Nothobranchius furzeri: one gene and its partners. The protein of the gene in region 7 purifies or fractionates together with the protein of the main gene of each other region. This does not show direct contact. Links are inferred from orthologs where the notes say so. Each region holds a gene or a part of one and is shown on either strand. Other genes may lie near its edges. The genes, in order: sf3b1, stau1, heterogeneous nuclear ribonucleoprotein Q-like, cdc5l, heterogeneous nuclear ribonucleoprotein R, hnrnpub and ilf2.

Region 1 (3,500 bases), on a different chromosome or scaffold from region 7:
GTTACGTTTTGGTTTAGAGTTCATCGTTTTTGTGGTGTAGATCTCCCTTTTATTACATTTAGAGTGTTGTGGGTTTTTGGTTTAGTTTAAGATATCACCGTGAGTTTGGTTTAACCGCCCAGTTTAGAGTTTGGACCTTTGCAGATCCTTATTTTGGTCCAGAACCCTGTAATCTTTGCCCAGTGGGACATCCCTACTTATTTGTACTTTTGTTTTAATTCCCCACGGGCAGAATTAGTTTTATTATTCCCAACCTGTGGATGGAAAGATTTATGTTTTTTTGTAGTTGTAAAGAACCCTGATCATCATTTTAACTTTTAAATCCCGCTATTGTCCCTTCCTTTTTGCACACGAGCCAAACTCCCCAGGAAGGGTCATAACACCACTCGCCTCACACACATAAGTGACCAAAACAAAGCAGCATGGAGACACTCCTTCTCCAACCACCTCTCAGGCAGCAGGCTGCATTCCCAAGTTCTACACGTCACCAGAACATAACCAACCGCAACACAATAAAAGCAGTGTTATACAAAATGGAAGGTCTGTAGCGTTTATTCTATTACAGTAACAATTGATCAATTTCTTGGAGGAATTTATTAAGAGATTTTCTTGTTTTTATTAATTATGCAATAAGAAAATAATTACTAGATTAATTGTCTAAATCGGGGGTCGGCAACCCGCGGCTCTGGAGCCACATGTGGCTCTTCCATCCATCTGATGCGGCTCTCTATGCTTGTAAAATAATGAATGGATATTTAAATAAAATGCTTTATATTTTACTGCATTAATTTTACATCTGTAAGCTAATTCTAAATGTAAAGGTTGTCTGCGTAAACCTGAACAGGTCCAACCCAGTCTTACTGTGAGACCGGGTTGACGCGTCACGCTTGTGCGTAATCATAGGCACTTTCCGAGCTGAAGAGGATGTGAGATTCTGGGATTCTCCTCAGACAGGCTCCTGGATGTGTCGCCACATTGGAGACAGGAACAAGCGCTATTCAGCCAAAGTTTCATAATCAGGGAACATTTTCTAAGTGACAAGTCTCGCTTCAGTGGGAGGAATCTTCACGCATGCGCTCTGGTTCTGCGACGCGCTCCAAGCCCCTCTCCACATCTTCAGCTCGCTGTGTACCATACGTATGCGCTGACAGTGAGCTGCGCTGAGCAATGTCCAGCTCAGATGTTCAGATGGGAATCTTTTCTTGAGTGATTTAGCTACATCTGCGATGTGTGTAGAATAAAATGTCAGTTTGTCTGCATGCGTCGGGGTAATTCTTTCTATTCTTTCTCCGTCAAAATAAACGGTCAAATACGGGAACTGTCCGGTCAACACAACACAAGCCCTGCTTTTAACTGTTTTGTTTTCTTGTGAAAATTGTTGCAAAGAGATATAATTTAACTTGATTAACACCAGAGCCAGGCGCACTGCGTCGTTATCTCCGCTGCTGTAAATGAGGGAAAAACAAACTGATCGGATCCTTTTCTGACCTTCCCCACCTACAAAGTTTAATTACAACAATCAAACGTGACAGAGCCTGGATTTGTATTCTGAACAGTCTAAACATGTTGTAAAAAGAAACGTATGACAAAAGTGGCACCTGCTCAGTAAAACCAACAGGGTGAAAAATATCAAAATATTGTAGGCAGAGACGGGCTACAACTTCTGGATCCACTTTATATAAATCATTTTATTGATTATCTTTTTTATGAAAGATAACTTTGACGTACACGAGCGACCGGTACCGACTGCTGTCACCTGTTGTGATTGGTTAAGGCAGCGCTCTGCTGTCTGAGGGTAGGCCCCGCCCACAACGCCGCGGCTGCTGTGGCTCCCAGTGTTTTCTTTACTGTGGGAAACGGGTAATAATGGCTCTTTGATGGGAACAGGTTGTCGACCCCTGCTCTAGTCACTAGAATAGTTGACTATTCGATAAAAAATCGTCAGGATAATCGTTTTAAAAATAATCGTTTACCCCCAGCCCTAACCTCCACAGAAACTACTGCAGATCGTTATGGTTACCGTTTTGGTAAGAGGACTGTATTTACAGAGTTCCAGAACCTCACAAGGCGCTTGACAACAGTCTTTCACCTAAATCTCAGGGTTAGTTTAAAAGGTTATGCTTGCTGATTTATAAGGTTGTATCTGATCCTTTTCACCCAATGTGATGGAACGTCCCCACTAATAATAATAATGTCATTTATAAAGGATTAAACCTTTTCTTTTTTACTCAGTGTAAAACACACCGAGTCATGGCTTTAACGCGATCACCTGTAACAGAACGTGATTGGTGCTTTAAAAGATTTGTGGATGAGGGTCCGACTGACCGTGTTCGATAATCTCCACCAAGCTACGCAGATGAGGCAGAATGGCGCAGCCCATCAGGATGGCGATCTGCTGTACTATCTTGATGCCCGTGTGTCGCGCCTGCCACGACTTCTTGCTTTTGCACACAGCTTTGAGGAAGGGCAGGAGGGAGGGGATACCAAGAGCCGAGGCCACCACCGCGAAGGCTCGAGCAGTCGTGTTTCTGACATACTCATCCATGTTGTCAATATCAGGTCGCATTGTGGAAATCATTGTAGCCAAACCAGCAGCCTTAAAAACATGAGAAAAACAAGTTCACAGGTTACTCTGATTACCACTGAAAGCCCAAACACAGCATCAGTCAGCAGAACAAACACTTTATAACTATGACTGTGCACTCATGCTGAAGTATTTAACAGATGCTGCTTCTTTGCAGAGGAACTGTAACCAACGGGTGCAGGTTGAGAACAGACTAGGCATTAAGGTCAGGTCTGCATGCTCTCATGTTGGTATCAATCTGGCGAACAACTAGCCCTGATCAGACCACAAACTGGTCAACCAGGCGAGAAAGGTTCGCGTCATTTCTCTGTTACATCAACAAAAGCAAATGGCAGCTAAACAATACCTTCGCTAAATTAGAGATGATCTCTCTGCCTTCAACTCGAGCATAGTAGTCCTCATCAATGAGCAGAGGCTCAATCACCACGAGAATCTGAAGAGAAAAGCTCAGGTTAGAGCGCCAACATCCATAGAGACAAATGCACGTCTCCGCAGTGAACCCACCTTGTGCACATACGGCCGAACCAGGTCATCCAGTTTGTAGAGAATCCTGTCGATAACTTTCACCAGCAGGTGGCGCTCCTGGTCTTCCAAGGTAGGCGACATGAGCAGCGGCAGGATCTGATTGAACAGGGGACCAGCTCCAAACTCACGGGCTTTGTCTGTGATTTGACGCAGAGCCGCCTGATAAAGAAAAGAGACGCGTCAGATAAAAGCCTCACAAACACACAGAAGTACTTTGGTTTAGCGGTTGCACCAACTGCCTGCTGAAGCAGACCTTTTCTCTGCTACGTGGAACAAACTGGCACCTGCTGATCTTTTTATTTGCACTTTGTGAAAAAAAAATACTAGCTGTAGTTTATAAACCTAAACAAACGAACATCACTATACAGAAGGTCACAGCAAAAAGTCTGTG
Region 2 (2,890 bases), on a different chromosome or scaffold from region 7:
TATCACACCAAACAGCACTTCTCACACACTTTATCTTCTTGGGTTTCAGGTTTATTATTAATTTTTTTATAATTATAACCGTTCTCCATTTCTCACTGCTCACATGGATCAGCTCTCCTTTTTCTTTAATTGTCTCGCCCTTAATCAACGAGCGTGCACACAACCGGAGAGTTGAGCCCGCCCCCTGCAGGCACTGCCGAGGGTCAAAAACCGCAGCTCTTACACTATTAATCTATTAGTAACCAAACACAGTGTGTGGGTTACATATGCTTTTAGCACAAAACTTTATTGTAGCTTCATGAGGATGGAGAATGTGGCATTAAATTACAACACATTAACACAAAGGGCCATAAAGCACTATAGGAAAATCAACAGCAACTGCATCCTAGACAAAAATGAAAACAAGGCCTGAAACTTAAACTACTTCAGTGGGGATAAAACACAGACATTTAAAACCAAAGGAAGTTCACAGTTACTCCTATTTCAAATCAAATACACCTCCAAAATGATTGGCTAGGATGCAGCTACTTTCTCTATAGAGCAAATAAAAAAAATAACAATGTGTACAATTAAACAACATCAAGGAGAAGAAGTCTATTTTTTCCTATCAATCTTGTTTAACTGTGAAAACTTTGTAACAATCGATAAGAGCAGTGATAGATTAGGGCTTTTCCAAGCATCCGTAGAACACAGTGAGTTTTCTCTTTGACAGGCAACCAAACCCCAGCTAAGCTTTGCTATCCAGCGTCTGTGCCAATGTGCTTGAGTTAGCCTGTTTCAGGTGCAAGTCGCCTTCCAGCTCCTGTTTTCCACATCTGAGGAAATAAATGATTAAAACACATGGTTTCACTATTATTATACACAATAAATAACACTATAGCTGCTAGGTATCCCATTAAACAAAAATATTTTCTGCGGTTTGACCCGTCATCCACACCAAAGTTAAGATAAACAGCACCACAAATGAGACTTTGAAAAAGTTTGACCAAAGCGGAGGTTTGCAGATTCTGTTTTCAGGATTTGTTTGTGAACGTTAGTAACCAAGTTTTAGGTTTCACACTGCCCGAGACAAAAATGCTCTTTCTACAAGCGCCATTACTATTCAGTGTAGAAGGCAGCAAGCAAAGGGCAACGTTAGGACAGAGGTTTCCCCACTACCTAGTTATTTCACATGCTAATTCTCTTTAATTGTCACATCATATTTGTTTAGAGTCCTATTTTAGTTGACTAAAATATATGTATTTTTCATCTGATGCAATAATTTTCAACTTGTGCAAAGGAAATATCAAATACAGCTACTTGAAACTGTAAAGAAATATAAAAAATTCACATTTCACACTTTGGATCAATAAAACTGTTTTATAAATGTTTTAAATAATAATAAATCATGGAAAATACCAAAATGAAATCTGACTGTTTAGAATTGTGTCTCCCAGTATTAATAAACAAATCTATATAATGTATAATGTATAAGTAATATTTCTAAACATGATATGACATAATACCATATAACAATAAAAGGTGTTTTCCTAATAACGCGAGGAGGTAAACTAAAAGGTAAAAAATGTTTTCAGGCGTGTTTATTAGTTTCCATGCACTCATTTACCAAGGTAGGCCGCATGAATGTTTTTCCCCCTCCCTCACAAAAAAAATGCTAGAACAACGAATGCTTATCGGGCGTAGCAGCTCTGCTAGGTGTGCAGCTCCGTGAGTTTGGTTTGGCAACAGCTCAGCACCGGCAGCAGAAATCCACTCCTGGCCTCACCCAGCCCCGCCTGCTGCCACCACCCTAACCCTTTAAGAACCAGGGGAAACCCCAGATGGGAACTCACCAAGCAAACATTATTCAGATTGTCACATTTAAAGATTTTCCTCCCGGCTGTGGGCATTTTCTGCTTTTAGACACAAATTGTTCAACCGTTACCGGCAACTTGTTGTAACAGCGGCCGGCTCCAGTCCGAACTCTGATTGGCTCTTTCCTCGTCTATTCCTGTCTGCTTCATTTGCTGACCGGTTCTTTTATTCAAATTTCCAAATATTCTTCATTTTCTGATTCAATATTCGTTATTGTCAGTCTACACTGTCGTCTTTTATTCACTGACGAAAATATCAAACAACATCCGTTATAATTCAGTCTTCATAGATGTGCACATTAATTTATTTGTTTTGTTTTAGTCCGCAAAAATGTATTTGTCGTAAATATATATATATATTGTTGACAACATTATATATATATATTTTTTTTTAATATATATATATATATATATATATATATATATATATATATATTATATCGTCAACAAAATTTCCGCTGCAAGGAAAATTTTTTGGCAAAGACGCAGGAGATTTGGGGAACTACTGCCACCAACCAGCTTAGCATGCATGGCCTTACAATGCACTGGGTTGCACGAGGTGGCGTGAGCGCGCGCGCGCACGGGGGGGTGGGGGTGGTTTGTTTTATGAAACCTCGGCTCCGTGTGTAAACGGCCTTCATAATGATTCAGTTTTTATAATTTCACTCAAGAAAAATAACTTTTCAACAGTTTAAAACCCCAAACAAGTAAGACATTCACAGTCCTGACTGACAAACTTCTTGACACAGTTAAAATATCTGACTCTGTTCCACTGACAGGAGCTTCAGGGCGAGTTCAAATATTAGCAAGACGAAACATTTTATGAAAAACAAAAGGTCAGCTCAGCCAATCCTCACAGCTTACCCCGAGGCTGGTCCATTTTCTGTCCTTTCATTTGGCTGCTGGTCCAACTCAGCGAGTATCTTTAATATATTCAGTGCAGCCTGTGAAGGTTAAAAACATTGTTTACTATTCTGGCAGTCCACATAAACATGAAAACACAACGCTTTTAGAAAAAGTGTGGGTGTTTCAGAAAC
Region 3 (4,037 bases), on a different chromosome or scaffold from region 7:
ATTAAACTGATAAGATGTTGATTCACTTTCATCGTCTTCCTCCTCCAACCTCCAGCGATCCCAACGGACAATAACAACTGGGGATGTATGCTTACCAAACTTTCTTTAACCGGCTAGCGACGCTCCGTAGCGGTCAATAGCCCCCCCCAAACATTTGCCTCGCTCTATGAATAACACTTTCTCCATCTACTCTTTAATACAATGACTCACGACTTAAGTCCCACACTCGTTATGTTTATGAACAAAAGTAAAGAGAGTGGGATGACAGCTGGATTGTCCGTCAGACTCAGCGGACCATCTGATCTCAGATACGCAGCGCTGCTTGTGATCACGTGCTGATAAGTGCAGTCTGGCCGCGGTTTTAACACCTAGTGTAATTATTTAGTTGAATGCAAGAAAACTTAATTTCTTTATTGTACTGGACAAATAAGGCATCAGGCATAAGGAGCGTCACGGCCGACGGACCTGCTGCTGGTCTCGGCTCGGCGCTCTGATGTGAGGCTTTTTGTGCTCCAAGAATGAAATAACGAAAGAACAAACAATAACCGCTAACTCTAATAACCGCTTGTGTTTCAGCACATTTGTTAGGTCTTGTGATGAGCTCATTTCTTCTTCTGCGGTCGCCCAGTAAACCATTTGACAGTGGCACTCTTGCGTCCTCTAGTGGCACAAAATATATTGCACCAAGCACAGCAGAAGGACTTGAAACAGTTAACTGGAAAAAACTAGTTTACCTGGTCACAACATTAAAGGCAATTAAGCAGTTAACTACGTGCATCCCTAATAATACGATAAGTCTGACGTGTTGTGTAAAAACAGCTGATTTTAGCATATTTGTGGGCCCAACATGTCGCTACCAGACATACAGTGTGAGCACGTAACTCGTGAGACTTGCTCTGCAAGGAAGTCGTACAGTTTGAGCTGAAACTCAACTCTACCAGTTAAAACACCGCCCAGTTAAAGGGCAAATTTTTATTTCCTGTGATGAAATGTAGATCCCTTTGCGTTGGTTGCACCAGCACATGTAACAGTTTGGACTGTTTACCATGATGCTTCTTTCATTTAAATTCAGTCTCGGAAATATTCCTCAGCTTTTAGTATCGCGATATTTTCTACTCTGTATCGCGATACGTATCGTATGAACATGCATCCCTAACTCTGAACACAAAGTTTTTACGACAGAATAAACCCCCTCAATGCTCTTGACTTACTAGTTTGATTATGAATCTTTTCTTATCCAGTCACATCTTATCAGTCTTACTCCACTCCCACTTCCTGTTTGAAAAATGCAACAAATGCTGTTGCCTAGCGCACGCACACACACACGAACACAGGTTCACAACAACATTGTGACATAATGTACCAGCTAACGTCATGGTGTACCTCTTAGCCAATAGCAATGTCAGATTTAAATTCAGCTGCAGTGCAGGGTGTTTACCTGAACACGGTGCGACACTGAGTTTTAGGAATATTATTTACATTTGAAGTATGATACACTAAAGGCCCAAATTATTGACTGCATGCGTCTACAGCCCGATTAGACACTAGTTTATATAATGTATCAGCAAAAGAAGTAGATTTGGGGGTGACTTGCTCTTTAAAGTTGATAACCCTGGTCCAATGGTCTAACCCTTGTCCTCCAGGGCCACCGTTCTGGTGTGTCTGCTCCAGTAATTGGTTTCTTAGGGAAGCGAACTGAACCAGGTGTGTTGGAGCAGGAAAACAACCAAAACATGCTACACGGTGGCCCGGGAAGACCAGCGTTAGATTGCCCTGGCCTAACTGTTGTGTTAGTGGGTAAATCTACCGATAACACCTGTTGTGATCCTAGACTGGTTTAAACACAGCTAACTGATCTGTTTCCGGGTGACTTCAGACAACAGCCGCCGGTATTTGGCGCCATCGAGCTGGACAGCGGACATCGTCTGACCACACTGATCCGGTTAGATCGTTACTAAACTGAAAACCCATCAGCGACAGATCGGAGTCGTTTAAAACAAACAAAAACATGGATAAGTAGCCCCAGAGCAGCGACCCGGTCTAATGGACCATAACTGCTGAAACCAACACTCACCACACCTGAGAGCGCGTGGGGCTCGAGTAATAATAATAATAATAATAATGCACTGAGTTTATATAGCGCTTTTCTAGACACCCAAAGACGCTTTCACACACTCTCACATTCACACACTTGTAGCCACAGCCGCCCTGGGGAGGTCTGACAGAGGCGAGGCTGCCATTTGGCGCCGTCGGCCCCTCTGACCACCACTAACACAGGCAAGTTGGGTGAAGTGTCTTGCCCAAGGACACAACAGCAGGATACCCCTGGCGGGAGCTGGAATCGAACCCATGACCCTCCGATCACGAGGCAATCCGCTCTACCACCTGAGCTACTGCTTCCCCCGTAGTAGGCCTCGGTAGTTACCGCGCCGACACCGGTGAATGGAGAACGTGTACCGTGATGTATTAAACACTGTTGGCTATGAGCCATAAGCTCTCCTTTCCCTGCATTACCCCAATAACGGCATCGATGGACGCGTGTCCGATTCTTTCCTCAAAAGACCGGTTAGCACAGCCGGTCGAGCAGCACGCTGTAGAGGCGCGTGCACGAGCCAAACTCGGGGCTACCATGTTTGTTGCTACCTACCACGCGAAGCTACCTGTGGGTGCACGATGCTGATCCGCCGTGTTGATGATAGTCCAAATTAAGAGAAACGTTAGCGCGGGTAATCTCTTGGTTGACACCCGGGATACAAAATGGCGTCTGTATAACGTCGCGAGCGCTGCTGCTTCATTTTAGCATAAACGGGGCTTCTGAGTGACCTTCGCAGGGGCTCCTCCGGTTTCACCACCGCCCGGTGAGCGATGCTATGGGATTAGATTTGTGCCAATAGGATCAAGAAAAACACTTTGAAGATCAAATATTAAGACATTGCGAGAGAAAAAAATTGTTTCAAAAGAAAAACTTATGATCTGAATCAACTTCTTAAAATGAGTAACAAAGTATGTTTCCTTTTTCTGTTTGCCTCTATGTGTTTTTGTTATCAGTTTCCTTAGTTTCGTTCTCGCTGCACACAGCTTAGCTCTCACTACCAGATTTGCACTTAAACTTTCTGGCTTTCTCTTTTGCAATCCCTGAGTTTTTGGTTGCAATTCTGACACAACCCTTTCGGGTGGGTGGGACTTCTGAGAAGTCCTCTCCTATAGGACAGTGGTTTCTCTTGAGTGACTGTTCAGTGACCCGGAAGTGATGTAGCCTCCAAGACATTCTTTTCCCACCTCGGTCAACAACATGAATTTTGAGCCCCAAACACATTATTTCTGCTGTCTGTGGTGTCTACTGAGGATCTAAAGTGACAATTGATGATATATTTGATCTTTTCTTAGTTAATCTGTAAATTAAGCCACTTTTTAAGTTGGTTTTAACCAGACGTTAGCTCACTAGCTAGCTGCTAAGCAAGCATTGTGCTAGCCTAAGGACAATGGTCTATTGTTCCAGAGAGACGTATTAAAAATTCATCTTAACATATTCATTACTGGTTTCATGGAATTAATTATTGCAGTTTATGTTAATAAGTTTGCTAATTTTTCAGGAACCTGTGGAACATCAGAGACTTTGCAGCTACTGGAGCTAACCTGTGTACTGCTAACTTGCTACAGAGGAAGCAGCAGAAAGCTGAGCTAACAGGCTAGTTTGCAGGTAAATACTCTTTTAGTGGAACTGTAGGATTTTTATGGTATAACTCAGACAGAATCTACATGAGCTATTGTGGGAAGACATTTTAACTACATTTACATACAGATACATGTATTTTTTCTTCCATGTTACTTGGACGGGCTAAACAAGTTCATAGTTCTGCCTGCTCCTTTTTCAGTGAAACGAATGGATTATATGATGTAACTCTGACTGAATAATAATCTAAGTGAGCATGTTTGATAATACATTTCTTACTAGTATACAGATCTGACATTTGTTTGTCAGAACAGGACAAATCAGATTCAACCGCTCAGATTGGTCACTTCAAACAAGGAAAATC
Region 4 (3,002 bases), on a different chromosome or scaffold from region 7:
AACTCTCTCATAATTTGATTCACCTGTGTGTGGAGGTCAAAGGTCACTGAGCTTCCCAAACCAATTTCGAGTTCCAATAATTTGTTCTAAAGGTTTTGGGATCAATAAAATGACAACAGTGACCAGATTTATGCACCGGCCTAATTTTGTTTAAACAATTATTTCACTTTCTGTAAACCCTATAAACTTTTTTACTTCTCAGATCTTAGTGCATCTCCTATATTTTTTATCATAACCAACGATTTATAAAGGAAAATCACGGAGATCAAAAAGGCTGCCCAATATTTCACACCCCACCGTATGGCTGTGACCTGCAGCATGTTTCCATCTTACCTCCTGGTGTTTGCCTAAGGTGTGGTCTCATTCTCCCCAGATTACCTACAGGAGGAGCGGGATGGCTTTCCTCACCTGCTGATGCATCAGCCCACATCTTTTTTCAAATGTAAATAATTTTATTTTTTATGTAATAAAACTTTTCAGTTGAGTTCACACCATTGCTGTTGGTTTTATTGTTGAAAAACTTTATTGGTCACTAGTACAGAAGCAAGGACTACTGAACACGCTCAAATCTCAGCTGCTGACACATCACGGCAAAATTAGCACACAGAGGCAAGGATTTCCACTGGGATACAGTCAGATGGTTACAGCAGGTTTAAGAGGAAGCATTGTTTTGAGTCATGAATTAATGAATCTATCGATGCGTTACTCAGAATTTCTGCGTACTGTTGAGCAGCGACTCCCTCTCCATCAGGAGCTCTCCGTATCGCTGCTGGAGTTCTCGCTCTCTCTCCATCTGCCTCTCCACATCTTCCCGCAAAGCCTAAAAACACCAGAAGGTCAAACAAAAAGCTTTACTTGGTGGTAAAACTTTGGTTTGTCACCAAGTAAAAGGATTTCCTTCTAGAAAATATGTTTCTGGGCAAACAGTTCTGATCAGTTGTTTGTTTTTAAATAATTACATAGTTTATCAAAAAATGGCAACCTCGTCACTGAGCCAATCAGATCATAACAGCAATGAAAATAAAACTGGAGCCTTTTTTTCTATTTATATATAAAGGCCTTGGAACATGACCAGAGCATGGCTGGAATACATATTAATGGCTTTTATCATTTTATATTTGAGTCATTTGAAAACTGAGAAAGTTAAAATCTTACTTAAATAAGATTGTGAACGTAAATCCAGCCTAACGCTCGGAATGAGCAGGTGTGTGTGTGTGCGTGTGTGTGAGGGTCACCTCCTGTCTCCTGGGAATGGCGAGGTCCTCTTGTTTTTTCAGTTGACTGAAGGTCTGGAGCTCCGTGGCTGCCTGCTCCACCTGGTGGACAAAACAAGCACAACATGTCAAAATAGAATAAATTTACAGTCGAAACTAACAGTGAACCTGTATTTAAAAGCTAAACCAGCTGTTAGTTTACTTTTACAACAACAACTGTTTTTGCTGATAAACTACGAGCGTCTAATGGTGCTGTAGACATGTGTAGTCAGTAATTTGGCACTTTAGTGCATCTTAGTTCAAATTTAAATATTCTGCCTAAAACCGTCAGTGTCCCTCTTCAGGTAAAAACTCTGCACAGCATTTGAATTTAAATCCGTTGTCCCTATGCACTAAGAGGTACCCTATGATGTAAGCTGGTACATTATGATGTCACGGTGTGTGTGTGTGTTCTTGTACATACTACATACTGAGGACCATTTTACCTACAAAGTGAGGACATTTAATTGGTTCTCACTTTTTTTTTTAGAAGCTTACTATACCAGTTAGAGGTTTGGTGTGAATTAAGTTTTAGTTAAGGTTAAGAATAGATTAGCATTGGTTATGGTTAGGGTTGGGGTATGGGTTAGGCATAGTGAAATCACAAAAATGAATGGAAGTCAATGGAGGGTCCTCACTATGATAGAAAGACAGACGTGTGTGTGGCTTCGCCCTCTTGGTTCACCAGCAATGCCTCCTTGTGTCGCATTTTTCAAACAGGAAATGGGAGTGGAGTTTGACTCTGGTAGGGGGTGACTTGCTCTTTAAGAGCAGAAACATGGAACTCTGGTTTGTACACATTAAGATAATTTTGTTTGGCATTAAATGATAAACATGGCGATCCATTTACCCTCAGATGTGTACTATTGACTCTAAAGGAGCATCTTCCTTCCATGCTGACACAAATCTGCTCATTACCTGTTCGTAAAGCTCATTGTGCTGCTTCAGGAGGCCCAGGGCTCTGGACTGAAAACCTCCCAGCAGGATCTTCAGTTTCTTCTCTAGTTTAGCCGCTCGCCGAGCTTCAGCTGTCATGTGACCACGGTTCACCTGCAAAGGGCAACGGAGCCGGGGTCAAAGGGCTGGGACTCACTCAGCTTTTTAATAATTACATTTTAACTTTTTCACCTCTAGTTTTTTCTCCAGACTTTCAATTCGATCTTTCTTTGAAGCCAGGTTGGCTCTGGTGTACCTGCTCTGACCAGGTAGGTACAACACCTGCACAACAACAGCATCTTCAGCTTGATGGCAGTAACCCCAGATTGGTTTCATTTGTTCATCTCCTTTTGTTCACTGTGAGGATGCTCACCTGCCCATAGCACTCCTCCCACACCTGAGTGTAGGCCTCCAAGCTGAGATCACCATGACCCATTCCTGCTTTCACCACGTCCATTTCCGCTGCCAGGATGGCCGTTGCCTGTTCAACAGATGATAGAATAATTACAACCAAACAGGAGGTACAACTCTGTTTAAAGCCGGACCACGCTGTTTTTCAGCCGTCGCTCAGGATCGCTCATGTCACACTAAGAACTCCAGAGAGGTGGCACACTGTGCAGTACAAGATTTCAGTGATCCAGATGGGACAACATCTTGCTCCAAGCAGGACACACGTCGCTAAAAGCAGACAGCTAACCAAAACAAAGCTGAAAAAAGCGCCACTGTTACTTCTTAGTCTCACGACCCAGCTCATCTTCCTCAAAGAGGAAGTATCGTTTTCAAAACCCTTGCTTTGGTCTCAGTCTGCTTTTC
Region 5 (4,027 bases), on a different chromosome or scaffold from region 7:
TACGAATCCAATGGAAAGGCCAGGTGAGTGTGTCAACTTATTAGGGTTGAAGTGACAACTCACTATTTTCCAAACTTGTTCTTACTTTTAAAATTTTAGTGAAAGCTTTAATAGATGTCAGCCAATCTCCAACTACATCCACGTGAAAACAGTGTTGTGAATTTTGTATTAAATATAAAGTACACTGAGTATTTTCCTAGTGGCTGAAGACATTTACTGAAGGAGCATTAGCTCTACTGAAATGGGAACAACCTATGAGAATGGTAGCGGTCACCTTTACAGGATGAGTGTTCTTGTAAGGGGATCACAGCCATTTGGGCGAAACACTGAAGAATAAAGGGTTCAAATCCAACTCGACAAGCAGAACTCTCTAGTTCTTTAGTCTTTTGCACTGCTGACAAAATTTGACAAAAAAGATCTTCCGAATGTGACAATTGGAGGTTATGGATCAAATCAAGTAGTGAAGGACAAACACTGAATTTGAGTATTTGACAATTGACTGATGCTCAGCTGAGTTTTATTGAAACTGAACAAAACGGAAAAGTTATAAATACAAATAACATCAGAGAACAAACTGCTATGGCTCTTAAGGTCAGCCAAACCAAATTCTACCGGGCAAGTTTAATGAAAACAAGGAAGTTATGGTATCAGTTAAAAAAACAAATAAACACAATTCGTCTATCTCTAGAAATGCTATGCATACACTTCGAACAATACAAAACTTTGATTTCTTCCTTCTTGTGGATTCTTTTCTCCACCCTCGCAAAAAATGATGTATGAAGCTATAACGATATGCATTTATTTACAAGCAAATCCCTAAGCAACTACAAGAAACCACAAATTAAGGGAGTACAAGAATGGGGAGGGGGACATGGACAAAAAACTTAAGGACATATGCATTTTTTGACGTCCTCTCAGATATTTTAAAACGAATGTCCACTTTTTTTTGTTAACGTTCTTTGTTGGTTTTAAAAAAAACAGGAACAAAAAGTAACAATAAAAGCGTAAATTTTTTGCAATTTTTGTAAAGACACGTCCAAATGAGACTGTAGCAGGAAGAAATGATTCACCTCAAGGGGTACGTTCATTTCTTCAGCCAAAAACATTTCCAGCCAATCATCTTGAGCCAATTCTGCAGTGTGTCCATTTTTTCTGAGATACGTACAGATCTTTTTTTTTCACACGTGATGAAGAATAAAAAGTCAATCAAAAATTGTGGCCAATCTCCTGATTTTTTTTTTCTTTTTATTGTTGTTTTCCTCTTTTTTTGTTGTCGTTGCCAAATACCTTTTGGTGCATCTACTTCCACTGTTGCCCATAAGAATCCTGTGAAAACTCCATGGTGTCATTACTGTAACCATAGTTACCGGAATAGTCGGCCCCCTGCTGCAAGGGCTGCTGGGCGATGGGCTGGGACCCCCAGTTCTGCTGGTTGTTGGTCTGGCGGCGCTTGGAGTCGGGCTGGGTAAACACATCTGCCTTCCTCTTTCCGCCAACGTTCCCGCCACGATTACCCCTGGCACCGCGAGGACCACGGCCCCTCTGAGGTTGGAAAGGGGTTCCACGTCCTCCTCGAGCGCCACGTGGACCTCCAAGGGGTGGCCCCCTTTGTGCAAAGCCACCCCGACCTCGTGCTGTTGGAGCCCCGCGAGCCCTAGGTGGTGGAGGTCCACCCCTGCTGGGGCGAGTACCACGACTCCTCATGCTGTACACATCTTCATAGCCGTAGTAAGGGTCCTCATAGCCACCGCGGTAGTCGTGATAATCGTAGCCATAGTAATCGTCATAGTAATCGTCATAGCCATAGTAATCAGGTGGATAGGCATAGCCTCCCCGGCCACCACGACCCCTTCCTCTGCCTAGTGATGGCATGCGTGGAGGTGGGTAGTAGTAGTAGTCATCATACCTGCAGGATGAAAATTTCATGAATATGTTGTTCTGGGCAACTGACCAACCACATGTTTCCATTTAGGCTCACCCGCCACTCCTGGTGGTCTGCCGAGCTGCTTGGCGCTCTTTCCTTTTCTTGTCTGGGGGCTTTGCCAAAACAATCTCAATTACCTCACCTCCAAGCTCCTTCCCATTCATCTCATCCATAGCCTGTCAAAGAGCAAACCATCACTGTCAAGTACCGAGAAACATGACGCACTAGTATTACGCTGATTATTTCATAAAAAAACCCACCTTTACAGCAGCATCCCTATCTTCAAAATGGACAAAAGCATAGTCTTTCAACTTTTTCACCCGTTCCAGCTTCCCAAACTGGGAGAAGGTTTTCTCCAGAAGTTCTTCAGTCACAGCTGTAGCCAGCTTCCTGACAAAAAGCACTTTTACCTAAGATCACAGAAAACAATTTAGTCTTTTATTTAGGAACATAAGAAAATATCGAAACAGCAATATATTGCTATATTATTTCCTGCAATATTACATCGATATTCAAAAGCCGTGTATGAAGTTTCTGGAAGAATTTGCATGCAAACATTTGTTTACTTTCTTTTCTTTTGGTGCAATTCAAATGCTGACCACTAGCCAGCAGCAGTGTGCAATGGGTTTTGTTGCCACCTCTGAAATTTAAATCCCTCTACTATGGTTCAGATACCTCATGTTAAACATGTTACGTATCAGTTTGGACTGTTTATTGAATTTTCCTACAATAAATTCAATCTAAAAAACTTGCTAATAATGTCTGGCCGAATGTATCACAATACATCGTATTGTCTACCCTGTATTGTGATTCGTATCGTATCGCCAGATTTTCATCGATACACATCCCTATTTTTAACGCTGGGAGCTGGGGAATGATTTTCTGAAGAAAACATGGACTACTGACCTTGGCCATGACTTCTGGGTCTGGTTCAGCAACAGGGTCAGCCCACTCCACTGTCACAGGGTTGCCCCACACTTTGACCTTCCCACTCATTAGGCGGCGACGTGCCTGTGCTGCAGACTTGTGATCCTCGTACTCCAGAAAACAGAAACCGCGGTTTTTCTTCTTGTCATCTGGCTGGTGATACAGTATCACATCCTGCAGACCCTCTGTGGGGTGAAAAAAAACAAGCCTTCCAGTATTGTCAAGATTGGTTTGATAAAATCTATAACTGCACTCAAAACAAACCTGTCACTTTCCCAAAGTCCTCCAGTATACTTTCCCGTGTCTTGTTCTTGGGAATGGATCCAACAAACAAGCGATTGTTTGCAACAGATATACAAACTCCCAAGTACTTGCCAGGGCGAATTTCATGGTTATCACACTGAAAACAAATAAGAAAGGTAAAAAAAATTTCACACAACAGACACGGAATTTCTTATAAAACACAATTATCCATCTTTTGCTATGGGCTTACATGTATCTTTAATAAAGTGAACTAGCTACTATCTTAAAGGGGAACTAGGCAGTTTTGCTGGCTTTTAGCACCCCCCAGTGTTCGTTTGTCGAACCGAAAGCAAAACCTATTTCCTCGCTGTGCATTTGTCTTTTTAACACCTTAATCGAAATGTTGAAATGTCTCCTCATCCTTCATTAGTGTCTACAGGAGTGACTCATCACTAAACTTAACAAATCGGCTGTGTTCATGATCTAAAACATGCAGGAAATGTGCTGGAACCAGACTGCAGTGCCAGGTATTTCAGCTACATTTTTTAAAATCCCAACAGAGCAGCCCACGAATCAGAAGTTGAAAGTGGAATATTTTGGTCACAATAGGAGCTGAGTGGCCTTTCATTAATTCAATTCAATAATACTTTATTAACCCCAGAGGGAAATTAGAGCCTGTAAAAGGTCATTTTAGCACATACTGGCTCATGAAAATTATTTTAAAACTACGAAAAAGTTGCAAAGTATCCCTTTATATAAATGTTCTTGTGTTATTAGGAACTGAAATTTGACTAGTGTTTTTTTTGTATTATAGAGTAAGACTTACTAGCTTCACAGCCTTTTGTGCGTCATCTTTATTGCAGTATGTGATGAAAGCATAACCTCTGTTCTGACCAGACAGGGGGTCCATCATTAACCTGAGGTCCCAGATGG
Region 6 (2,490 bases), on a different chromosome or scaffold from region 7:
CAGGTTCTAGTCAGTCGCACCGTTATTCACACACCGCAGAGGTCCGTCACACACACCTCGCAGTCGGCCTTGGTCTGAGGCCCCTTCACACCCCTCACACGCTCATCGACGGGGATCTGCTGCATGAAGGTGTAGCCCTCAGGCTGAGGGAAGTACGGGGTCTCCATCTGGCCAAAGTTGAACTCCACAGCACAGTTGCGACAGATGACGTGAGGAAAAAGGGCCTGGCCGTTTAGAGAGTCTTTCTGGACCTGGAAGGCCACAGCTGGCTCTCCACCATTCTTGGAGAAGGACAGCACCACCTCCTCACCCTCAAAGTCCTGAATCGAGGAGGAAAGGCGACATTTTGGTTTAGAAAGATGTGGTGAATGTTCTAACCCTAGAACAATCTTCCTACGCCCCCTACAGGGGCTCAGAGGTAAAGCACCCACTCCTGCAGCTCTGGACCAGGCCTCTGGGAGGTTGCTGGTTCCATGCCAGGACACTGCTGCTCTTCTTTTGCACTACGTCCACTTTTTTCTAGTCTAGCTCAGCCTACTCACCTATCTCTGTGCCTGCACTGGCTCGTCCAGCCAATCACAGGAGGGGTCACGCCCTTTCCTACCGTACACCATGGTACGGGTCTAATGTGTGTCTGGAAGTTTTAAAAAAGGAATCTGGACTTACGATGAGGCAGCAGATGACGTCGTTCTCCTCGTACGGCTCTCCGAAGTCCTCGGTCACACAGTTGGTCGTCTTCTTGCCTTTCCAGGAGTAGCCGAAGGAAAACTCCTCCTCACCTGAACACCAACAGATTACCATCAGCAGCCACAACTCACCTCCGCTGGCATTCACACCAACATGCTATGTTGCTTACAGCCCACTAGAGGGAGCTGTTGAGTCGGTCACGCATGACCGCAGCTGCCTGACGTCATGACTAAATAAACACATGGGGTAGAGACTTCCCAGGCTAAATCTGATGTTATTTATATTTAAGAGAAAAACAAGATAAAACAACAATAAAAGACACGAAATCCAGTTCAGCAGCTGTGTGTTTGGTAAAAATGTGACCTTTGACCCTGATGAATGTCACACACAGCGCCATAATGAAACCCTACAGTGGGTTTAACATACGGACTGGACAGGCATAAAGACAGCTCGGCCTATCGCCGCTGGTCGTTAAACCGGCTTAAACAGGTTCTGCTGCTGCTTATGGAAGATGTGGTGCCAGGTGTGAGAAGCTAAACCCTCGTGTAGCTTCACAAGCTGCTTCACCGACCTAGGAGCAGCGAGCCGGTAGCCAGAGACCATCCGACCTGGACATCGTGAATCTCCAGGTTCTTGCTGGATATGTGCTTCACTGGAATCTTCTCTGTAACCTGCAATCACACCACACACGACTCTAGCAACACCACCAGTCGGGGTTTAAAACACCAGCGCTGCAGGAAGCAGCAGCAGAGGACTTACCTTCATCTCAAAGCAAGCCTTGCCTTGGTTTACACCGTGAGTGGCCTTGCCTCCAGACCAGAGGTACGCGAAGCTCTCCATCGTGAGGGACGAAGCGCTGTAACGGTCCCGCGACACCTTGAAGTGCAGGTCGCAGTTGTCTGCAGAACACAAACTTCCCGTAAACAACACCGGCATCAACGTGTCCCTGCAGGTCACCAACATCAACTCTTACAGCTGTCCAGGCAGACTTTGGTCTCATCAAGCTCCTCGTCCTCTTCCTCCAAGGGCGGTACCGGAGACTTAAACGAAGCACTGAAAGAAGACGGCAGCGAGTAAATTAGAGGATTCACGCGGGGGTGACAGTGGAGCACATTGATGTTCTTTGGGACCATTTGCTGAAAAACATCACAGGAGAGAAGTGGACGGGCTTTAAGAAAGGGAAACAGAACATGACTGAGCCTCACAAACCCTGGCAGGAACCGACTTACCCAACAGCATCCGCAGAAATCTAAAACGGGAAAGATACAGACCGTCGCCATCGCCCCGTGATGTTGATCAGATGTGAATATCGTCCAGGTGAGTGTGAGCTCAGGGCTGCTATGTGATGTGTGGGACCGCTGGATCATGTTGTGTTTTAAATCAAGACTAAGAATTAAAACTGGACATCATGAATCTATGAAACACCAGTCTGTGTCTGAAACCTTCCCTGGTGTCCTCACGCTGTGTAGCAGCCGAGTCTGGATCCCGTTCATACCAGGTGAACGAAGACTCTCGGCACCGTAGAGGTGATTTAATCCTTGTTCAAATAAAACCTCCAGATCTACGTTCAGCTTCTGCCCGTTCATCCTCGGTGTGCCAGCAGCGCAATGAAAACAAAACACTGACCGGTAATAGTTTCATGTACACACACACACTCACACAGGCCATGCATGATGTCACCTATGCAGGGGTAGAAACAGTCCTGCAAAAGTGCACGCACACACACACACACACGATACAGAAACAGCATCTGGACATCAGTCATCCAGTGAGATAAATGCACAACAAATGACAAACATCGAT
Region 7 (4,262 bases):
GTGTGTGTGTGTGTATGCATGTGTGGGTGTGTGTGTGTGTATCATACGGTGCAGCTCTGGATCCAGCTTGCGTAGGTTGGGCGGGACAGTGGTGATGAGGATCTTAACGGTTGCATCAGCTGAGCTGATCTCAAAGCCCGTCTCATTGGTCAGCATGGAGAGAACTGAAAGCGCGGGTGCACACACACACACACACACACACACACACACACACACACACACACACACACACACACACACACACACACACACACACACCATTAGTGTTTATTACATCATTAACTCACTAAAGATGCTCACTCTGTTTCTTGAGGGCACTCTGACCAACTTCAGCCTTTAGGTAAGGTCCAGAGCTGCAGATACACCCCCCCACACACACACACAGACCCACCCCCGTACCTTCTGCGGGGTCCTGGGTGCGAAGAGTCTCCACCACCTTGTTCCCGAGCGCAGCCACTGCCTCCACTGTTAGATTAAACATGAAGAGCAGAGTCAGCTTTAGCTCCAGGTGTTTAACACTGGACTCAGTATTAATCACCACTCTACCGACGGTATTCGGGGTTTAAATGACACCAAGTTGCCTCATAAACACATTTAGGATTCAGACACTTCTGTTCTCGAGTTCCTGTACGGTCTGACGAGTTTCGTCATCACTGTTAAGCTTAAAGAGGCTAAAGCTAAACAGCTTAGCTGCTGGATAGCCGGTCCGGTCGGGCTGCATGATGGGACTAGCCATGTATTTACCAACACGAGTCCAGATGTGCTCAGTGGTTTCACCAGAACATCTGTTGAAGCTGTTCCAGCAGGATGAGGCCCTAGTGACGGACCCAGGGCTGGTCTGAATGAACAATGACTCACGTGTAGGGAGGATCTTGAGGATGACAACGAGGTCAGCGACGTTGTGTCCAGTTGTCATGGTTCCCTTCTTGTATGAACCCACCTGACGAACTTCTTCTATTTGCTGTGGACAGATAACGTAAGCATGCGGGATGGCTTTGATGCGTTCTAAAAGATAAAACCGCTCAGCTACATAAAGCTCAGCCTGTGGGAGGTCTAGGAAGGTCATGACGGAAGAGAAACATTTAATCCCAGATTAGGACGTGACAGCAAACACAGATCATTACAGCCTTACTGACACCAACTCATTTACACCAGTTTCAGTAAACATGGCAGCTCTACAGGTCAGATGTTCACCACTCACCACTTCAAAGCTACCAGGGGCAACAATCAGGTTGTCGATGACATTATTGATCTTTGTGACCAAAGACAAGATGGAAGACTAGAAGCAGAAGGAAATGAAGACGTCAGGTAAGTAACCTACAGCACGATGAGACCAGTGAGGTGTTGAACTGGAATACCTAGCTGACCTGTTCTGCAGGTGAGGGGCTCAGGTCCTGGTTCCTCTTCAGCAGACACTCGCTAAACGCCGTCTCATCAGGAGCAGGTTTCACTCTGGGGAAGGCCATCTCACACTGGGGAAGGACAACAGTCTGCTTCAGAACCACAAAATGGACCGGATTCTACCAGATGCTAGTTGTAGCCATGGTTACTGATTATTCCTGCATGCTGTTCTGTTGTCTGTCACATGCGTGAACTCACCACATAGAAGTCAAATGGGATGTGCGGGACAAAAGGACGGTACCTGAGCGGGACAGAGAGAAGAACGGAGAATCGGTGGACTGGCACAAATGTCCCTACTAGTCAGAACCAGAACGTCTGACCGGGACCTTATGAAAGCTGATGTTCAAACCCAAAAAGTAGATTTTAACAATGATTTGGAGGTTTCAGTTATAACCAAGGCAGCGGTTCTTTTTGCTTCAGCACAATAACCAACAATCCGTCTTAGCTTCATCACCAGGACCACGCACAACATGAGCTGATGATTCCAGACTTTACAGCAGCTTTTTAAGGATCCAGAAATCAATGGATTGTTTCATTTGGGAAAAAATGAAGTTTAAAGAGACAGAAACAGGACGCTGCTTTCAGACAGGATGGAAAGATCTAACTGCTCTGAAGAAGTCCTTCTGGAGATGTTCTGGGGAGAGTGCCGTCGTCCTGTGTAATCACAAGAGGCTTCTTTTTCCACTTCTGAAGATCTTTCTCACTTAGACTTTTCTACTCTGATGGCTTATGGGTCCGAGTTCCATCCAGAAGCAGGAATCGAACCAGCAAACTTAAGACTAACTGTCAGATACTTTCTACAACCAGATCAAGGACCTGACTGAAAGAACCAGTATGGAACAGGAACAGAGATCAGTAAGGTACTCACCCCTGGACCATGCCTCCCCGGGCTCCGAAGCGGAGTCCTCGGCCCCTGCCGCGGTCTCCTCTGTTCACAAACACAAAACCCAGATCAGTCCAGTGCGCTCGCTACTGCCAGACTAAAGGATAAATAAAAACGCTGATCTTAGCTAACACACGTGTGTTATAGTCCTAATTCGCTACCTCAGTGTTAACTTGCTGTCGATAAAACGTAAGAGTTATCAGTAACACTGTTATTGGAGGAATAAATAAGTAACACCACGTTCAGAACGAGACTTTAACAGAAAGCTATACCGAGCTAATGGCTAACAGCTAATGACACTGATTACAGGCTAGTTAGCGTAAAGCCAACACAACCAGGTCCGGTTAGTCAGCGTTACCTCATTGCGTACGACGTTTTGATGGTTTGATGAGAGAAAACAGGGAGAACGGTTTGATATGGTTTAATGAATGAGCGGAGGCTAACTGCGGAAGGGACTAGTGTGGCACAAAGAGACTTCTGTTTCCGGCGGAATTGTTTCTTTCTTTCTGTTTTACGTCACCAACGCCGTGGTACATTACCGCCCCCAACTGGAATGGAGTGTGGACCGCATAGATATCACATATTATAGCTAGATGCGCTGTTTTTTTTATTTATTGGTATATTTTTTTGCTGCTGCCATAGCGTAACTTTATTCATTCACGTCTTTCTGGTCAAGTCTCTTTTTTAACTTTATTTCAATCTTCGTTTTCACATACATTCAGTTTACAATGTAACCTACATTCAACGTACTGAAGAATATAACAAATACAAATGACCGCACTTGAGGAAAATAAAAATGACATTTAGAACTTGCAACATTTACCGCATGGCACTACCATAAAATAAATTATGATGCAAAATAATAATAATTAAAACAAAAAATAAAATAACATCAACAACAAACAAAAAACGTTCAGAGGTTGATATTTCAGCATTATAGTTCAAACATGTTTGATTCATTGGACTGTAATTTAAAGAACAAGAAACTCAGACATTGTTTCGCACAACTCAGTTATAGATTGGTTATTTTCTGAAAATACTCTTTGAGATGTTGTAAATTGTTTTATTTAATTTTTAAAATGATTAATGTTAGGCTTGCTGTTTTTCCATTTAGTCTTATGTATTTGGTAATGTTCACCATTTTGGATATCTTTTTTGGAAGAGCATCCATGTATATCAGTACTTTAGATTACATCATTTCTCTCAATATTTACCAATCGATAAACATCCTCCTCAAAACCAAGTGTTACTGAACACGAGAAGAAAAAGGTGCTCAATAGTTTCACATTCTGTCATACAAAAGATGCACTGATTCTCACCTGCGCTGTTCGTCAATGGACCCTGACGTCCGTACGCGGCAGCCATCTTACTTCGGACAGCTGCTCTCCTCTAGCACTGTTGTTTAGTGGTGCATGAGGGGGAATTCAAGATGGCAGAGTGAGCAGGTGCTGGAAACTTGGCAGGTCTGATAAAACGGTGGGTTTTAAATGTTCTGAGAAGTAATTCTCTGATAAACAGTTATTCAGAACGAAATTGAAAGGAAATCGGTACCTGTGGAACATGTTTTTGAAGAGTTATTGGACAGATAAAGTAGCAAACACAAAAAATCAAATGACTAACATGGCGGCGCTAATAGGTAGTCTTTCCGACCATGACTACAACCTTGCGGCAATGAAGGAAGCATGTGCGGACGAAGACATTGAGGAGATGGAGCATCAACAGATAGCAGCAAGACCCACTGGTGATCACACTCCAATAAAAAGCCCCAATCAAAAAAAAAAACCTGAAAAATAAAGCTACTGGCAAACAGATATGCAATGAAAACATCTATGAAGCCCTGCTGGCCTTTCCAGAAAGATTTGATCTGCTAGACAAAAATCTGAAAGCTTTTGACCTTAGGATAGAGGCAAATGGCAACTGAAGAAAACAAAAAGGAAACAGACAAGCTCAAAACAAGGATGGAGGCTTTAACGAAGGA

The links.
Region 1: the proteins of ilf2 (region 7) and sf3b1 fractionate together in Homo sapiens (co-fractionation; 3 studies listed by BioGRID and IntAct, with this or other methods). This does not show direct contact. The link is inferred for Nothobranchius furzeri from reciprocal best matches to the Homo sapiens genes ILF2 and SF3B1.
Region 2: the proteins of ilf2 (region 7) and stau1 purify together in Homo sapiens (affinity purification with mass spectrometry; 3 studies listed by BioGRID). This does not show direct contact. The link is inferred for Nothobranchius furzeri from reciprocal best matches to the Homo sapiens genes ILF2 and STAU1.
Region 3: the proteins of ilf2 (region 7) and heterogeneous nuclear ribonucleoprotein Q-like fractionate together in Homo sapiens (co-fractionation; 3 studies listed by BioGRID and IntAct, with this or other methods). This does not show direct contact. The link is inferred for Nothobranchius furzeri from reciprocal best matches to the Homo sapiens genes ILF2 and SYNCRIP.
Region 4: the proteins of ilf2 (region 7) and cdc5l purify together in Homo sapiens (affinity purification with mass spectrometry; 4 studies listed by BioGRID and IntAct, with this or other methods). This does not show direct contact. The link is inferred for Nothobranchius furzeri from reciprocal best matches to the Homo sapiens genes ILF2 and CDC5L.
Region 5: the proteins of ilf2 (region 7) and heterogeneous nuclear ribonucleoprotein R purify together in Homo sapiens (affinity purification with mass spectrometry; 3 studies listed by BioGRID and IntAct, counting the BioPlex papers as one, with this or other methods). This does not show direct contact. The link is inferred for Nothobranchius furzeri from reciprocal best matches to the Homo sapiens genes ILF2 and HNRNPR.
Region 6: the proteins of ilf2 (region 7) and hnrnpub fractionate together in Homo sapiens (co-fractionation; 3 studies listed by BioGRID and IntAct, with this or other methods). This does not show direct contact. The link is inferred for Nothobranchius furzeri from reciprocal best matches to the Homo sapiens genes ILF2 and HNRNPU.

The regions. Positions count from the first base shown.
Region 1 is NC_091754.1:36,036,838-36,040,337, forward strand, and holds part of sf3b1 (splicing factor 3B subunit 1), read right to left. Parts: intron 3,269-3,500; coding exon 3,089-3,268; intron 3,018-3,088; coding exon 2,931-3,017; intron 2,597-2,930; coding exon 2,326-2,596; intron 1-2,325. UniProt on the Homo sapiens protein: Component of the 17S U2 SnRNP complex of the spliceosome, a large ribonucleoprotein complex that removes introns from transcribed pre-mRNAs.
Region 2 is NC_091743.1:66,049,759-66,052,648, forward strand, and holds the end of stau1 (double-stranded RNA-binding protein Staufen homolog 1), read right to left. Parts: intron 2,798-2,890; coding exon 2,718-2,797; intron 816-2,717; coding exon 728-815; 3' UTR 501-727; downstream 1-500. UniProt on the Homo sapiens protein: Binds double-stranded RNA (regardless of the sequence) and tubulin.
Region 3 is NC_091742.1:17,031,949-17,035,985, forward strand, and holds the start of heterogeneous nuclear ribonucleoprotein Q-like, read right to left. Parts: upstream 2,801-4,037; 5' UTR 2,661-2,800; exon of another isoform or gene 2,648-2,660; intron 1-2,647. UniProt on the Homo sapiens protein: Heterogenous nuclear ribonucleoprotein (hnRNP) implicated in mRNA processing mechanisms. Component of the CRD-mediated complex that promotes MYC mRNA stability.
Region 4 is NC_091752.1:40,119,977-40,122,978, reverse strand, and holds the end of cdc5l (cell division cycle 5-like protein), read right to left. Parts: intron 2,671-3,002; coding exon 2,563-2,670; intron 2,472-2,562; coding exon 2,382-2,471; intron 2,304-2,381; coding exon 2,172-2,303; intron 1,317-2,171; coding exon 1,236-1,316; intron 821-1,235; coding exon 707-820; 3' UTR 501-706; downstream 1-500. Other genes in the region: supt3h (transcription initiation protein SPT3 homolog), read left to right, coding at 374-415.
Region 5 is NC_091759.1:6,948,558-6,952,584, forward strand, and holds the end of heterogeneous nuclear ribonucleoprotein R, read right to left. Parts: coding exon 3,921-4,027; intron 3,252-3,920; coding exon 3,116-3,251; intron 3,037-3,115; coding exon 2,831-3,036; intron 2,335-2,830; coding exon 2,185-2,334; intron 2,101-2,184; coding exon 1,979-2,100; intron 1,907-1,978; coding exon 1,300-1,906; 3' UTR 501-1,299; downstream 1-500. UniProt on the Homo sapiens protein: Component of ribonucleosomes, which are complexes of at least 20 other different heterogeneous nuclear ribonucleoproteins (hnRNP). hnRNP play an important role in processing of precursor mRNA in the nucleus.
Region 6 is NC_091742.1:29,996,062-29,998,551, forward strand, and holds part of hnrnpub (heterogeneous nuclear ribonucleoprotein Ub), read right to left. Parts: intron 1,741-2,490; coding exon 1,661-1,740; intron 1,587-1,660; coding exon 1,447-1,586; intron 1,359-1,446; coding exon 1,259-1,358; intron 780-1,258; coding exon 667-779; intron 321-666; coding exon 57-320; intron 1-56. UniProt on the Homo sapiens protein: DNA- and RNA-binding protein involved in several cellular processes such as nuclear chromatin organization, telomere-length regulation, transcription, mRNA alternative splicing and stability, Xist-mediated transcriptional silencing and mitotic cell progression.
Region 7 is NC_091751.1:23,258,300-23,262,561, forward strand, and holds the start of ilf2 (interleukin enhancer-binding factor 2 homolog), read right to left. Parts: upstream 2,801-4,262; 5' UTR 2,648-2,800; coding exon 2,643-2,647; intron 2,330-2,642; coding exon 2,270-2,329; intron 1,643-2,269; coding exon 1,600-1,642; intron 1,473-1,599; coding exon 1,368-1,472; intron 1,280-1,367; coding exon 1,202-1,279; intron 962-1,201; coding exon 859-961; intron 466-858; coding exon 400-465; intron 165-399; coding exon 48-164; intron 1-47. UniProt on the Homo sapiens protein: Chromatin-interacting protein that forms a stable heterodimer with interleukin enhancer-binding factor 3/ILF3 and plays a role in several biological processes including transcription, innate immunity or cell growth.